Linked DNA regions of Macaca fascicularis. Each later gene encodes a partner of the first gene's protein in a complex. Links are inferred from orthologs where the notes say so. Each region holds a gene or a part of one and is shown in the gene's direction. Other genes may lie near its edges.

Evidence for each region.
Region 2: the proteins of ABL1 (region 1) and SH3BP1 are in contact, whole or in part, in a crystal structure (PDB 1ABO), measured with the Mus musculus proteins. The link is inferred for Macaca fascicularis from reciprocal best matches to the Homo sapiens genes ABL1 and SH3BP1. Residues at the interface, in NP_033724.2 of Mus musculus: Tyr70, Phe72, Ser75, Gly76, Asp77, Thr79, Asn94, Glu98, Trp99, Trp110, Pro112, Asn114, Tyr115; in NP_001303613.1 of Mus musculus: Ala607, Pro608, Thr609, Met610, Pro611, Pro612, Pro613, Leu614, Pro615, Pro616.
Region 3: the proteins of ABL1 (region 1) and CRK are in contact, whole or in part, in an NMR structure (PDB 1JU5), measured with the Homo sapiens proteins. The link is inferred for Macaca fascicularis from reciprocal best matches to the Homo sapiens genes ABL1 and CRK. Residues at the interface, in NP_005148.2 of Homo sapiens: Tyr70, Phe72, Asp77, Asn78, Thr79, Asn94, His95, Asn96, Gly97, Glu98, Trp99, Trp110, Pro112, Ser113, Asn114, Tyr115; in NP_058431.2 of Homo sapiens: Pro44, Asp46, Asn63, Gly66, Pro67, Arg68, Pro69, Pro70, Val71, Pro72, Pro73, Ser74, Pro75, Pro80, Gly81, Ser83, Pro84, Ser85.

What each region holds. Positions count from the first base shown.
Region 1 is NC_088389.1:12,988,440-12,992,586, reverse strand, and holds part of ABL1 (tyrosine-protein kinase ABL1), read left to right. Parts: intron 1-2,929; coding exon 2,930-4,147. UniProt on the Homo sapiens protein: Non-receptor tyrosine-protein kinase that plays a role in many key processes linked to cell growth and survival such as cytoskeleton remodeling in response to extracellular stimuli, cell motility and adhesion, receptor endocytosis, autophagy, DNA damage response and apoptosis.
Region 2 is NC_088384.1:13,996,402-14,000,668, reverse strand, and holds part of SH3BP1 (SH3 domain-binding protein 1), read left to right. Parts: intron 1-388; coding exon 389-465; intron 466-744; coding exon 745-856; intron 857-946; coding exon 947-1,023; intron 1,024-1,494; coding exon 1,495-1,639; intron 1,640-2,486; coding exon 2,487-2,555; intron 2,556-2,720; coding exon 2,721-2,811; intron 2,812-3,212; coding exon 3,213-3,358; intron 3,359-4,267. UniProt on the Homo sapiens protein: GTPase activating protein (GAP) which specifically converts GTP-bound Rho-type GTPases including RAC1 and CDC42 in their inactive GDP-bound form.
Region 3 is NC_088390.1:1,562,508-1,567,534, reverse strand, and holds the start of CRK (adapter molecule crk), read left to right. Parts: upstream 1-2,075; 5' UTR 2,076-2,219; coding exon 2,220-2,460; intron 2,461-5,027. UniProt on the Homo sapiens protein: Involved in cell branching and adhesion mediated by BCAR1-CRK-RAPGEF1 signaling and activation of RAP1.

The sequences.
Region 1 (4,147 bases):
ATGAGCAGCTCAGGGTGAAGGCACTGATGTAACAAGCTCGCTGCAGCCAGGCGGAACCAGGACACGCCCGTGGACAGAGCCCGTGTCCTGGTGGTCTCTGGGAAGAACATGTTTCTGGTGCCGTTGCCTAGGCAAGCGAGGGAGTTGGGATCAGCTCAGGAGGGTCTCAAAACACTAGCAATAATAATATTTGCCAACATTTATGTAGTGTGCCTACAGGCCAGGCTCTGTTCTGTGTTCGTGGTTGGCCCCCAGAACCAGCAGTCCAGGTTCTGCTGCAGACCAGCTGAACAAAAGCATTGAAGGGTATATTCGTTTGTTTTCATGCTGCTAATAAAGACATACCCAAGACTGCGTAATTTATTAAGGAAAGAAGTTTCACCAACTCACAGTTCTACATGACTAGGGAGGCTTCACAATCATGGCTGAAGGCGAATGAGGAGCAAAGTCATGTCTTATTTGGTGGCAGGCAAGAGATCTTGTGCAGGGGAAGTCCGCTTTATAAAACCATCAGATCTTGTGAGACTTATTCACTACCACGAGAATGTGGGAGAAACTGCCCCATGATTCATTTATCTCCACCTGACCCCGCCCTTGACACGTGGGGGTTATTACCATTCAAGGTGAGATTTGGGTGGGGACTCAGCTAAACCATATTGGAGGTGGGGGCTAGGCCAAGCATCTGGGTTCGTAGAGGATCCTGGGGATGGCAATAGTGGACTCCATTCTAATGGACCACAGACTGGGTACATGTGAAGGGACCGGACAAATCCCCACTTCATGGAGATTTATGGTGGGATGTTTACTGACAGCAGAATCTATAAACCTGAGTTTTCTTTATCACATACTCATATTAGTTAAAAAAAAAAAAATGAACATGCAGCCCATATATATGGTATATAAAGTACATACGTCTACTACCGTAGGAGTATAGTGTGTATGTTATGTACCAAAACGCACATTTCAAAGGCTTGCATGCTAAATAAGTCCAAATTAACAATGCTTCACCCCTGCTGGGTCATCTCGCTCACCCCCTTGGAGGTTATGGCATATAGACTGTCCAGAAGCTTCCACCCTCCCTCCTCCTGTTGGTTTTCCTGATTTCAGGTGGCTGAGCAGTGGGGGGAGGCCTCTGTGGGAACGCTGTGTGATCAGCAGTCATGTTCATTTATGCCCGTCAGTCTCATCTGAGGGGTATTTTGATAGTGATCTCTTGGTGAGCCGAGGGTGTCAATTAACTGCTCAGTGCTGAAATCGAGTGGTGCATAATTTATTACAATTTCACTCTCCTGGCCTCCTTCTACTAGATTAAAGTTCTGAGAGGGCTTTGGCGTTCCCTGATTCAGATGTCCCGCGTGCTGCCTTGGGTTCTGATAAATGCACACTGGTACCTCTGTTCTGAGTTACAGGTGCCAACAGAAAACCTCTTCTTGCAAGCTGACCTCTGAGGGAAAATTCTGTTATTCACTAGCAGGAGCTTGGCAACACCAAAAAGATTTTTTTTTTTTTTGAGAAGGAGTCTCACTCTGTTGCCAGGCTGGAGTGCAGTGGCGTGATCCCGGCTCACTGCAACCTCCGCCTCCCAGGTTCAAGCAATTCTCCTGCCTCATCCTTCTGAGTAGGTGGGACTATAGGCGTGTGCCACCATGCCCAGCTAATTTTTGCATTTTTTAGTAGAGATTGGGTTTCACCATGTTGGCCAGGATGGTCTCGATCTCTTGACCTCGTGATCCACCCGCCTTGGCCTTCCAAAGTGCTGGGATGACAGATGTGAGCCACCGCTCCTGGCTACCAAAAAGATTTCTTATAAGCTATGATTCATATTTTAAAAGTGCCCATTAAAAAACTGTTGGCCAGGTGTGGTGGCTCACACCTGTCATCCCAGCACTTTAGGAGGCCAAAGTGGGCGAATCATGAGGTCAGGCTCCCTTGGCACAAGCTGGGGGCTGCCCCCACCCCATGCTCCCAGAGGAGCACCCAAGCATCTGGGCTCAGACAGGCCTGGATCTGATAACCGGCTCTGATGCCCACCATCCATGAGGCCAGGCAAGTAGTCCCTTCTCTCCGTCTGTCCTCAGCTTTCTCACTTGTAACCGTGCTACAGCGCTGTTGTGAGAATGCACAGCAGATGACGTTGTAAAGGTGAAGCACGTGTCACGTTCCTCTCAATAAAGCCGTCATTGCTGTTAGGATTGTTGTTAGGAAAGGCTTTGAGCCAGGTGCAGTGGCTCATGCCTGTAATCCTAGCACTTTGGGAGGCCAAGGCGGGTTGATCACCTGAGGTCAGGAGTTTGAGACCAGCCTGACCACCATGGTGAAACCTGTCTCTTCTAAAGATACAAAATTAGCCACGCGTGGTAGCGCGTGCCTGTAATCCCAGCTACTTGGGAGGCTGAGGCAGGAGAACCGTTTGAACCTGGGAGGCGGAGGTTGCAGTGAGCTGAGATTGCGCCACTTCACTCCAGCCTAGGCAATGAGCGAGACTCCAACTCAAAAGAAAAGCTTTGGTCTCTTTCCCTGAAGATGGGAACAAAAAGCTGGATGGCCCTGGCCTTTTCATCCCTGCAGTGGTTTACTTTAAGGCAGCAGTCCCCCAACCCACCCACATCACTCTGGTGAGTAAAAACGATGACAAGGCCAAGCAAAGGGTCAAAACTTGTGGCTTTCCTGCCAGCCAGCTAGCTGACAGGCCTACAAGGAGTTCTGGGAATAAGGGGCTATGTCCCACTGTGGGGAAGGGACAATGGGCCATTATGCATAGGAGATAAGAAGGGTTCACCTTCGACAATTTTTTTGTTTGTTTGTTTTGGCTGGAGTGCAGTGGCGAGATCTCAGCTCACTGCAACCTCTGCCTCTATGGTTCAAGCGATTCTCCTGCCTTAGCCTCTGGAGTTGTCTGGAGTTGTCAGCTCTTCCCCTTGCGTTTCAGATCCTCTGGACCATGAGCCTGCCGTGTCTCCATTGCTCCCTCGAAAAGAGCGAGGTCCCCTGGAGGGCGGCCTGAATGAGGATGAACGCCTTCTCCCCAAAGACAAAAAGACCAACTTGTTCAGCGCCTTGATCAAGAAGAAGAAGAAGACAGCCCCAACCCCTCCCAAACGCAGCAGCTCCTTCCGGGAGATGGACGGCCAGCCGGAGCGCAGAGGGGCCGGCGAGGAAGAGGGCCGAGACATCAGCAATGGGGCGCTGGCTCTCACCCCTTTGGACACAGCTGACCCAGCCAAGTCCCCAAAGCCCAGCAATGGGGCTGGGGTCCCCAATGGAGCCCTCCGGGAGTCTGGGGGCTCAGGCTTTCGGTCTCCCCACCTGTGGAAGAAGTCCAGCACACTGACCAGCAGCCGCCTGGCCACTGGCGAGGAGGAGGGTGGTGGCAGCTCCAGCAAGCGCTTCCTGCGCTCCTGCTCGGCCTCCTGCGTTCCCCACGGGGCCAAGGACACAGAGTGGAGGTCGGTCACGCTGCCTCGGGACTTGCAGTCTACGGGAAGACAGTTTGACTCGTCCACATTTGGAGGGCACAAAAGTGAGAAGCCGGCTCTGCCTCGGAAGAGGGCAGGGGAGAACAGGTCTGACCAGGTGGCCCGAGGCACAGTAACGCCCCCGCCCAGGCTGGTGAAAAAGAACGAGGAAGCTGCTGATGAGGTCTTCAAAGACATCATGGAGTCCAGCCCGGGCTCCAGCCCGCCCAACCTGACTCCAAAACCCCTCCGGCGGCAGGTCATGATGGCCCCTGCCTCAGGCCTCCCCCACAAGGAAGAAGCTGGAAAGGGCAGTGCCTTAGGGACCCCTGCTGCAGCTGAGCCAGTGACCCCCACCAGCAAAGCAGGCTCAGGTGCACCAGGAGGCACCAGCAAGGGCCCCGCCGAGGAGTCCAGAATAAGGAGGCACAAGCACTCCTCTGAGTCGCCAGGAAGGGACAAGGGGAAATTGTCCAGGCTCAAACCTGCCCCGCCGCCCCCACCAGCAGCCTCTGCAGGGAAGGCTGGAGGAAAGCCCTCGCAGAGCCCGAGCCAGGAGGCGGCTGGGGAGGCAGGCCCGGGTGCAAAGACAAAAGCCACGAGCCTGGTTGATGCTGTGAACAGTGATGCTGCCAAGCCCAGCCAGCCAGGAGAGGGACTCAAAAAGCCCGTGCTCCCGGCCACTCCAAAGC
Region 2 (4,267 bases), on another chromosome or scaffold:
AGCCACATATACCCTGGCACAGGGGAAAGAGCCCCCATTCCCAGGCCAGCTCCCCCTCCCATTCTCCCTCCACCCGTGTGACCTGGGGCAAGCTCCCTGCCCTCCCTGCATCTTAGTTTCCCAGTCTGCAGTAGGACTTGGTCATCCCTTCCTGCCCAGTCAAGTGGCTTCTGGGAAGAGGAAAAGGGCACTCCAGATGGGGAGGGGCTCCATCCATGGTCTCAGGGAAATGTCACCCACACCATGCCTTGTCATCTTGTTTCCACTCTCATCTGGGACTGTGGCATTCCTGGGTTCCCTCCTCACCTGCCCCCAAGGGGCTGGCCTGCTGCTCAGGCAGGGTGGAGGGAGGCAAGGACACTCACTGCCGGCCCCAACCTCCCTGCAGAAGAAGCTTCCCCTCATGGCTCTGTCCACCACGATGGCCGAGAGCTTCAAGGAGCTGGACCCTGATTCCAGCATGGGGTGAGCATAGACGGGGCCCTGCCCTCACCTGGGGCTACCAAGACATGATCTCAGCTGGGAGGGGTCCAGGTGGTGAGGGCATCCACATCGGAAGAATGACCAGGCCGGGGACAGTGCTCAAGTCAGTGAGGGCGGCCAGGCCTGGGAGGGTGTTCGGCCTTAGCAGAGATGAAGGATATCTAGGAGGGGCCGGAATTGAAGGAGGAGAGGCCCCACCAGGTGTTTCCAGTGGAGGTGAGGGCAGCGGGCGCCTGGGCCCATGGGGTGCCGTGTCCACAGGAAGGCCCTGGAGATGAGCTGTGCCATCCAGAACCAGCTGGCCCGCATCCTGGCCGAGTTTGAGATGACCCTGGAGAGGGACGTCCTGCAGCCACTCAGCAGGCTGAGTGAGGTGAGCCTGTGCCCTGCTCCCGGTCCCCACCTTCCCCGGTTGCTGGCTCCGTCCTCCCCCAGCACACTGACCCCCCATGCCCATCCTCAGGAGGAGCTGCCAGCCATCCTCAAGCACAAGAAAAGCCTCCAGAAGCTCGTGTCCGACTGGAACACACTCAAGAGCAGGTGGGAGCCCCGGCCACTCAGGGGCCTCATATCTGGGTCAGCCCACAGAGGTGGTCGTAGAGCTTTGAGGCCCTGGCCACACCAGGAGGATGCTGTGGGGTCCGCTAAGTACAGTGTGTATACTTGCGCATGCCTGGTCCCTGGAAACACAGGTGGTGAGGGTATCTGTGAGGGTGTGCCCGTGTGTGTCACAGCTGGTGCTGGGGCCACCCCAAAGCGTAGGACCGCCATAAACAGTCCTGCGGCTGTCCCTGTTCTCGGCTCTGCTGGGTGGCTGTGATCACCAAACCCGCCACCAGGGGGCAACCCAGCGCACTCGTAGCCCAGCCTGGGCTGAGGCCCCAGCCAGTGGAGCTCTCAGATCTGCAGCTCCAAATCCTAGAATACCATGTGGTCTGCTGTATGGAGGGGACACTTGGCTCTGGACATGCAACAGGGCAGGTGACCAGCTCCCCTTGGGATCATCCCCAGGCTCAGTCAGGCAACCAAGAATTCAGGCAGCAGTCAAGGCCTGGGAGGCGGCCCGGGCAGTCACAGCCACACGACTATGGCCAACAAGGTGGAGACGCTGAAGGAGGAGGAGGAGGAGCTGAAGAGGAAGGTGGAGCAATGCAGGGTGAGGGCCACATGGGTCTCCTGGATGTACAGGGGTGGCAGGGGTGGGTCCTGGCCCCATCTCACAGGCAAGGAAGCTGAAGCTCAGAGGGGTGACATGACTTGCCTAAGGCCATGTGGCTAGGAGGCAGCAGAGCTCCGCCATTCCCTTGTACCCTCTTCTGTCTGTACCCCATGCGTAACATGGGGAGGCCAAGACTTGGTCTGTTCCCTGAGTCTCCGTGTGTTTGCTGAACGAGTAAGTGAATGAATGAAGAGTGAATGAATGATTGGATGATAACAGCACTGTGCAGGGCCGGGCGCGGCGTCTCACACCTGTAATCCCAGCACTTTGGGAGGCAGGCAAATCATGAGGTCAGGAGTTCAAGACCAGCCTGGCCAACATGGTGAAACCCCATCTCTACTAAAAATACAAAAACTTACCTGGGCGTAGTGGCGGGCACCTATAATCCCAGCTACTCGGGAGGCTGAGGCAGGAGAGTTGCTTGAACCCAGGAGGCGGAGGTTGCAGTGAGCCGAGATCACACCACTACACTCCAGCCCAGGCAACAGTGCAAGACTCTGTCTCAAAAAAAAAAAAAAAAAAACCGCACAAAAAAACAAACAAAACAGGGCACTGTGCTAAGGCTATGGGGACACAGAGATGGGGACGAGAAGCCAGAAAAGTTTGAGGGAGTTCCCATGGGCTGGCCCCAAGCACCAACCTTGGCAGAAGAGAGGAGCCTGGCTGGGACTTCCACCTGCAGTTGTGTGGCCTGGGGCACAGGTCACCAACCCCTCCAAGCCTCCTCTTTCCCTCTAGACCCCCTGCCTCACCCAATGTAAGCTCTCCCCTCTCTGTCCCCAAGGACGAGTACTTGGCTGACCTGTACCACTTTGTTACCAAGGAGGACTCCTATGCCAACTATTTCATTCATGTGAGTCCAAGACCGGGCCCCATCCATCCAGAGCTCGGGGCTAAATGCCACAGCCAGGGTCCAGTGGGGCTCTGTGCTATGGTGGAGGGGGTGTCTGCTCTCAAGGACCCTAGAGAAGGCTCAGCTTCCCTCACTTCCACTCAGGGTGTCCCTTCGCCCCCACAGCTCCTGGAGATTCAAGCCGATTACCATCGCAGGTCACTGAGCTCTCTGGACACGGCCCTGGCTGAGCTGAGGGAGAACCATGGCCAAGCAGGTGGGGACGTAGGCCCGGCGATACCACACCCCTGACCCCGCCCTGCTCGGGGCTTACTGAGAAGCTTCCACTTCATCCTGAAAGGCAGCAGAAAGCTGTGGCTGGGGTCCGAGAGCTGGGTTTAATCTGTGATGGAGAGGCTGCTCTGGCTGCCATGTGGAGGGTGGAGTGAAGGGGGCAGGACTAGAGCCAGGCCTGTGAGGCGGAAGGAGGCAACAGTAGCCTAGACTAGGACAGAGGCAGTGGAGGCGGGCCGATTCGAGAGATGTGATGGATGATTTCAGATGTGGGCCTGGATAGTCGGTGGCAGGTGGTACCACCTTGAGGACATCAGGGGGGTGCCCCTGCCTGACTGCTTGGGTGGAAAGGCCCTGGGCCGCTGATCTGTTTCATCCCTGCAGACCACTCCCCGTCGATGGCAGCCACCCACTTCTCCAGGGTGTATGGGGTGTCGCTGGCAACCCACCTGCATGAGCTGGGCCGGGAGATTGCCCTGCCCATTGAGGCCTGCGTCATGATGCTGCTTTCTGAGGGCACGAAGGAAGAGGTGGGGCCCCCTGGGGCAGGTGGGGAAGGAGCACTGGGGCCCTCATTCTGTCCCAAACCCCCCACATGCTGCCCTGTCGTGGTGCCTGAAATTCCCTCATTCGAGCCCAGTTCCCTGGGAGAAGACATGGTCACCTCCTGCGGCATCCACACTACCTCCCGCGTGTCGATGCTCGCGTGGGCCAGGCGCTGTGCTAGAAGCCTTTGCATTCCTCGCTCCATTTCACAAGAGGGAGACAGAGGTACAGAGGTAACCATGCCCAGAGTCATATGAGAAGGTGACTTCTCAAACCAGGGGCTCCACTGCCACACACTGGCTGGATCTGCTGTGAATACATTGCCCCCCTGTCCTGCAGACAGACCCTGGAGGTGGCAGATACCCCAAATTAGTTTTGAGCTACTCAGCAATCCTGCTGGGGCCTCCTTTCTCCCTTACACTTCTTTTTTTTTTTTTTTTTGAGTTACGGGGTCTTGCTCTGTTACCCAGGCTGGAGTGCAGTGGCGCGATCTCGGCTCACTGCAGCCTCCACCTCCTGGGTTCAAGTGATTCTCCTGCCTCAACTTCACAAGTAGCTGGGACTGCAGGCGTGCGCCAACACGCCCAGCTAATTTTTGTATTTTTTAATGGAGATGAGAGTATGTTGGCCAGGCTGGTCTTGAACTCCTAACCTCAGGTGATCCACCTGCCTCGGCCTCCCAGAGTGCTGGGGTTACAGGCATAAGCCACTGTGCCTGGCCCTTTTTTTTTTTTTTTTTTTTTTGAGACAGGATCTCGCTGTCACCCAGGCTGTAGTGCAGTGGTATGCTCCTGGCTCACTGCAGCCTCTACCTCCCAGGTTCAAGCAATTCTTGTGTCTCAGTCTCCCAAGTAGCTGGGATTACAGATGCCCACCACCATGCCCAGCTAATT
Region 3 (5,027 bases), on another chromosome or scaffold:
GATGGCACCACTGCACTCCAGCCTGGGTGACAGAGCGAGACTCCATCTCAAAAAACAAAAACATAAAGAAAGGGAAGACATTTGAATTTGAGACTCCAAAGTGGGTAGAAGAGCATTCCAGGCCAGGCACAGTGGCTCTCGCCTGTAATCCCAGCACTCTGGGAGGCCGATGTGGGCGGATCACGAGGTCGGGAGATGGAGACCATCCTGGCTAACACGGTGAAACCTCGTCTCGACCAAAAATACGAACATTATTAGCTGGGCATGGTGGCAGGCGCCTGTAGTCCCAGCTACTTGGGAGGCTAAGGCAGGGAGAATCACTTGAACCCGGGAGGTGGCGGTTGCAGTGAGCTGTGATCGCACCACTGCACTCCAGCCTGGGCGTCAGAGCAAGAATCCATCTGAAAAAAAAAAGAGAGACTATGGCTCAATTTTATGCTCTGAGCTAACCTGGGAGTTTGAACACCTGAAGACTGTTAAACGTTTTACACAAGGTAGCAACACATTCAGATTTGTATACATATATACTTTTTTGAGACAGGATCTCCCTCTGTCGCCCAGGCTGGAGTGTAATGGTGGGATCTCAGCTCACTGCAACCTCTGTCTCCCGGGTTCAAGCGATTCTCCTGCCTCATCTTCCTGAGTAGCTGGGATTACAGGCAGCCACTATCACGCCCAGCTAATTTTTGTATTAGTAGAGACGCGGTTTCACCATATTGGTCAGCCTGGTCTAGAACTCCTGACCTCAGGTGATCCGCCTGCCTCAGCCTCCCAAAGTGTTGGGATTACAGGCGTGAGCCACCGTGCCCAGCCAGATCTGTATTTTAGAAAACTCAGTGGGAGCTGTTTGCAGTGCAATTAGAGGCAACCAGACGAAAGGGCACCAGCGAGCAAGCCACTCATAGGAACACAGTCCAGAGTGACCATGACGGCAGTGAAAGTAGGAGATGCCCCTGGCTACAATTTAGTGTTTAGAAGTATCTGGGCAGGTGACCCCAAAGCCTCAAAAGAGAGGAGAACTCTGTACTTCACGTGGCTTGGCACACTCTGCTCCCTTTGCTTTGAATGTCCTTCCCCTTTTGTCATTCAGCAGTCAACACATGCTACCTCCTCTGGGAAGCCCTCTTGGATTACTCCGCAGACTGGATGGAGGGGGGCTCTGCTCTGTGTTCATGTCCGTTTCCCATGATAGCGCTTGTCAGCATTTGTCATCCTTTTGTCATGCAGTTTCCTGGTTCCTCTCACTGGTGTGTGAGTTTGAGGAGTGCAGGGCCCAGCATCCATCACCTTTGCACCCGCAGTGCAGGTGGAGTGTCCATAACAATGTCCTGAATGAATCAATGAAAATGAGAACGTCAGCCGGCCTGTGGAGAAGCTAGAGGAACGAGAAGAAACAGACCGACATGGCCGGGAGCGATGTTTCTCGCCTGTAATCCCAGCACTTTGGGAGACCGAAGCGGGTGGATCACCCGAGGTCAGGAGTTCGAGACCAGCCTGGCCAACATGGTGAAACCCCCGTCTCTACTAAAAATACAAAAATTAGCCAGGCGTGGTGGCGCTCGCCTGTAATCCCAGCTACTTGGGAGGCGGAGGCAGGAGAATCGCTTGAACGCGGGAGGCGGAGGTTGCGGTGAGCCGAGATCGCGGCACTGCACTCCAGTCTGGGCGACAGAGACACCGTCTGAAAAAACAAAATAAGAAAAAGAAAAGAGAAACAGACTGATATCCCAGGAAGCCTGGCCGAGAACTGAGGCCCCAGGGCCACACGCGTCTTTTCTCCTGCAATCCTGTCTGGGAGCCGCCGCCTAGAAGTCCCGGGCAGTCCGGGAACGCGAGCCTGAAGCAGCACCGCGCGGTCGGCGGCGCAGGCGCACGTCTCTGCGGGAGGCCGCGAGGCCCCGCCCCCGGGCCCTAGACCCCGCCTCCCATCCCCCTCATCCCCGGGCCGGGCAGGGCGGCACCGCCCATGAGGCCGCATGCGCAGTGCGCGCGCGAGGGCGCCTTGCCCTTCTCCCAATGGCGGGCCGCGGGCCCCTTCCCGGCAGCCTCCCTCGGGCAGGGAGCGCGTCATTTCCGGTGGGGAAGGCCCGCGGCTGCCGCCGCCATTTCGGGCGCTGCTGTGAAGCTGAAACCGGAGCCGGTCCGCTGGGCGGCGGGCGCCGGGGGCCGGAGGGGCGCGCGCGGCGGCGGCACCCCAGCGTTTAGGCGCGGAGGCAGCCATGGCGGGCAACTTCGACTCGGAGGAGCGGAGTAGCTGGTACTGGGGGCGGTTGAGTCGGCAGGAGGCGGTGGCGCTGCTGCAGGGCCAGCGGCACGGGGTGTTCCTGGTGCGGGACTCGAGCACCAGCCCCGGGGACTATGTGCTCAGCGTCTCAGAGAACTCGCGCGTCTCCCACTACATCATCAACAGCAGCGGCCCGCGCCCGCCAGTGCCGCCGTCGCCCGCCCAACCTCCGCCGGGTGAGGGACTGACGGGACGGGGGGCCCTGGGCGGGGTGAGGGCCGCGGAGCTCCCAGCCCGGCTGGCTGCTCCTTGAGAGCGGACCCTCGGGGTCGTGGGCAGAGGGCTGGGTGACCGTGGCAGGGGCCCGCCGGCTGCTGGGGCTCATTCCCACCCGGGGAACAGGAGTGTGGGGGAGGAGGAGCCGCGGACCGAGGCCCCGGGGTGTGCCTGGGAAGGGCAGCCCCGGGGAAGGGGAACTGCTTCGGCCCCAGGGTGGGGCTGGCTCCCGGGCCAGGCGCAAGGGTAGGGCAGGGCAAGGCAACGTGGGGACAAAGAGCTGAGGGAGATGTTGGCACTGCGGGGGCATCACTTGGCAGCGGCGCCCAGAATGAATCCGATAATCCTACAAGTGGCTTTTGGGCTGGAAGCGTTTCCTGCCGTGTTGGAGAGCCGGGTTTGGCCGTGCTCCCCTGGTGGCCTTTGGTAGGAAGTCACCACAAACTGGCCGGGAGGGATGGAGACACCCTCAGGAAACCGGTTAGTTTTTTCCTTTCTTGGGCATTTTTCCAAAATCCTTGTACCGTCCTCTTCCCCCGTGGAGGACGAAGGTGGTGAATTAAGTGATAGAAGAAAGCCTTCAGTGACCAGCCCAACCCAGTTTAAGGCGATGCCTGGCTGCGTGCAGGACATCTAAGCGTCCAGAAGACTGTCCGCCGGTAGAGGGTTCTGGTTTTCAAAGTGTTTAGTGGAGGAAAGACATTTTATTCCAGAGAATAAACCAGAAATGAGGCAGTGGAAACAGACCCTTCCCTGGATGTGACTGGAGCTTCATTTTCCTTGGACTTAAACATTGTCAGTGTGTACTTCAGGGCGTGACCTTGCTCAGTAAGATGGGGCTGCGGGCTGAGTCTTCCTGGATGCTGGGAACAGACTCTACGCCAAGAACATAAATTACCTGCGCTGGGTTTTTCTTGCCAGGGATCCCTGAGATTGACTGTCTTTCCGATGCCGTTGGAGTTGATTTGGGAGTGTTTCAAGGGAATAGATAGATGCCCTTAGTACTGGAGATTTGTGAGGTACGAAGTAATTCTGGGGTTCTCATTGTATGTGTACCTGTTTAACAGCATCAGGAGTCCTCGTGCCTTCACACTGTTGCCAAGTCGAAGCTGTTTCTTCTTGGCCGCTGAGACTGGGTTCAGACTAGTCTCCTATGAATCAGGAAGCTCCTGAGCCATCCTCTCTAGACTTTCTCTTGTAGGATCGTTCTAATTTAGATTTACTTGTTCCGGCCAGAAATGGAGAATTGAATAGCCAGTCTCTTTGTTATTAACACATACCAATTTTTATTTTACTTTTTCCTGAGACGGAGTCTCGCTCTGTCGCCCATGCTGGAGCGCAGTAGCACGATCTCGGCTCATGGCCACCTCCACCTCCCCGGGGCTCCCGGGTTCAAGATTCTCCTGCCTCAGTCTCCCGAGTAGCTGGGATTACAGGCACCCACCACCACAACCAGCTAATGTTGTATTTCTAGTAGAGACAAGATTTCACCAGATTGGCCAGGCTGGTCTCAAACTCCTGACCTCAGGTGATCCACCCTCCCAAAATGCTGGGATTACAGGTATGAGCCACCGTGCCTGGCCAACACATAACCAATTTTTTTCTTATTTTATTTATTTATTTATTATTTATTTATTTTGAGACAGAGTCTCTCTCTGTCACCCAGGCTGGAGTGCAGTGGCGCCATCTTGGCTCACTGCAACCTCCGCCTTTTGGGTTCAAGTGATTCTCCTGCCTCAGCCTCCTAAGTAGCTGGGATTACCAGTGCCTGTCACCACGCCCATCTAATTTTTGTATTTTTAGTAGAGATGGGGTTTTACCAGGTTGACCAGGTGGGTCTTGAACTCCTGACCTCAGGTAATCCACTCGCCTTTGCCCCCTCAAAGTGCTGGGATTACGGGTGTGAGCCACCGCACCCAGCTTTGTTTGTTTGAGGCGGAGTTTCACTTTTGTTGCCCAGGCTGGAGTTCAGTGGTGTGATCTCAGCTCACTGCAATCTCTACGTCGTGGGTTCAAAGGATTCTCTTGCTTCAGCCTCCCTAGTAGCTGGGATTACAGGCACACGCCACCATGCCTGGCTAGTTTTTGTATTTTTAGTAGAGATGGGGTTTCACCATGTTGACCAGGCTGGTCTCGAACTCCTGACCTCAGGTGATCCGCCCGCCTCAGCCTCCCAAAGTGCTGGGATTACAGGTGTGAGCCACCACACCCAGCCCAACACATAACTATTTTTAGAAAATGAGTATGGGGTCTATAAGTTCACAAATTATTGTAGATCTTTCTCATTCTGGCCAGTTTAATGGTGTTATGAGATGGGAATATTGATGTACCTGTGTTGGCCCTGAACCAGATATATGCTACTTTGATGCCACCTGCGTGGTATCTGGGGTTTTGCATTATATGTAGTAACATGATGGCAAACTTACTGAAACTCACTTTTCAGCCTTTTGTTTGTGTTTGTTGGTTGCCAGAGTTGAAAATGGCAGCCGGCAGGTTTGTTAGCTTGATATTTTTTCACATCTTAGCA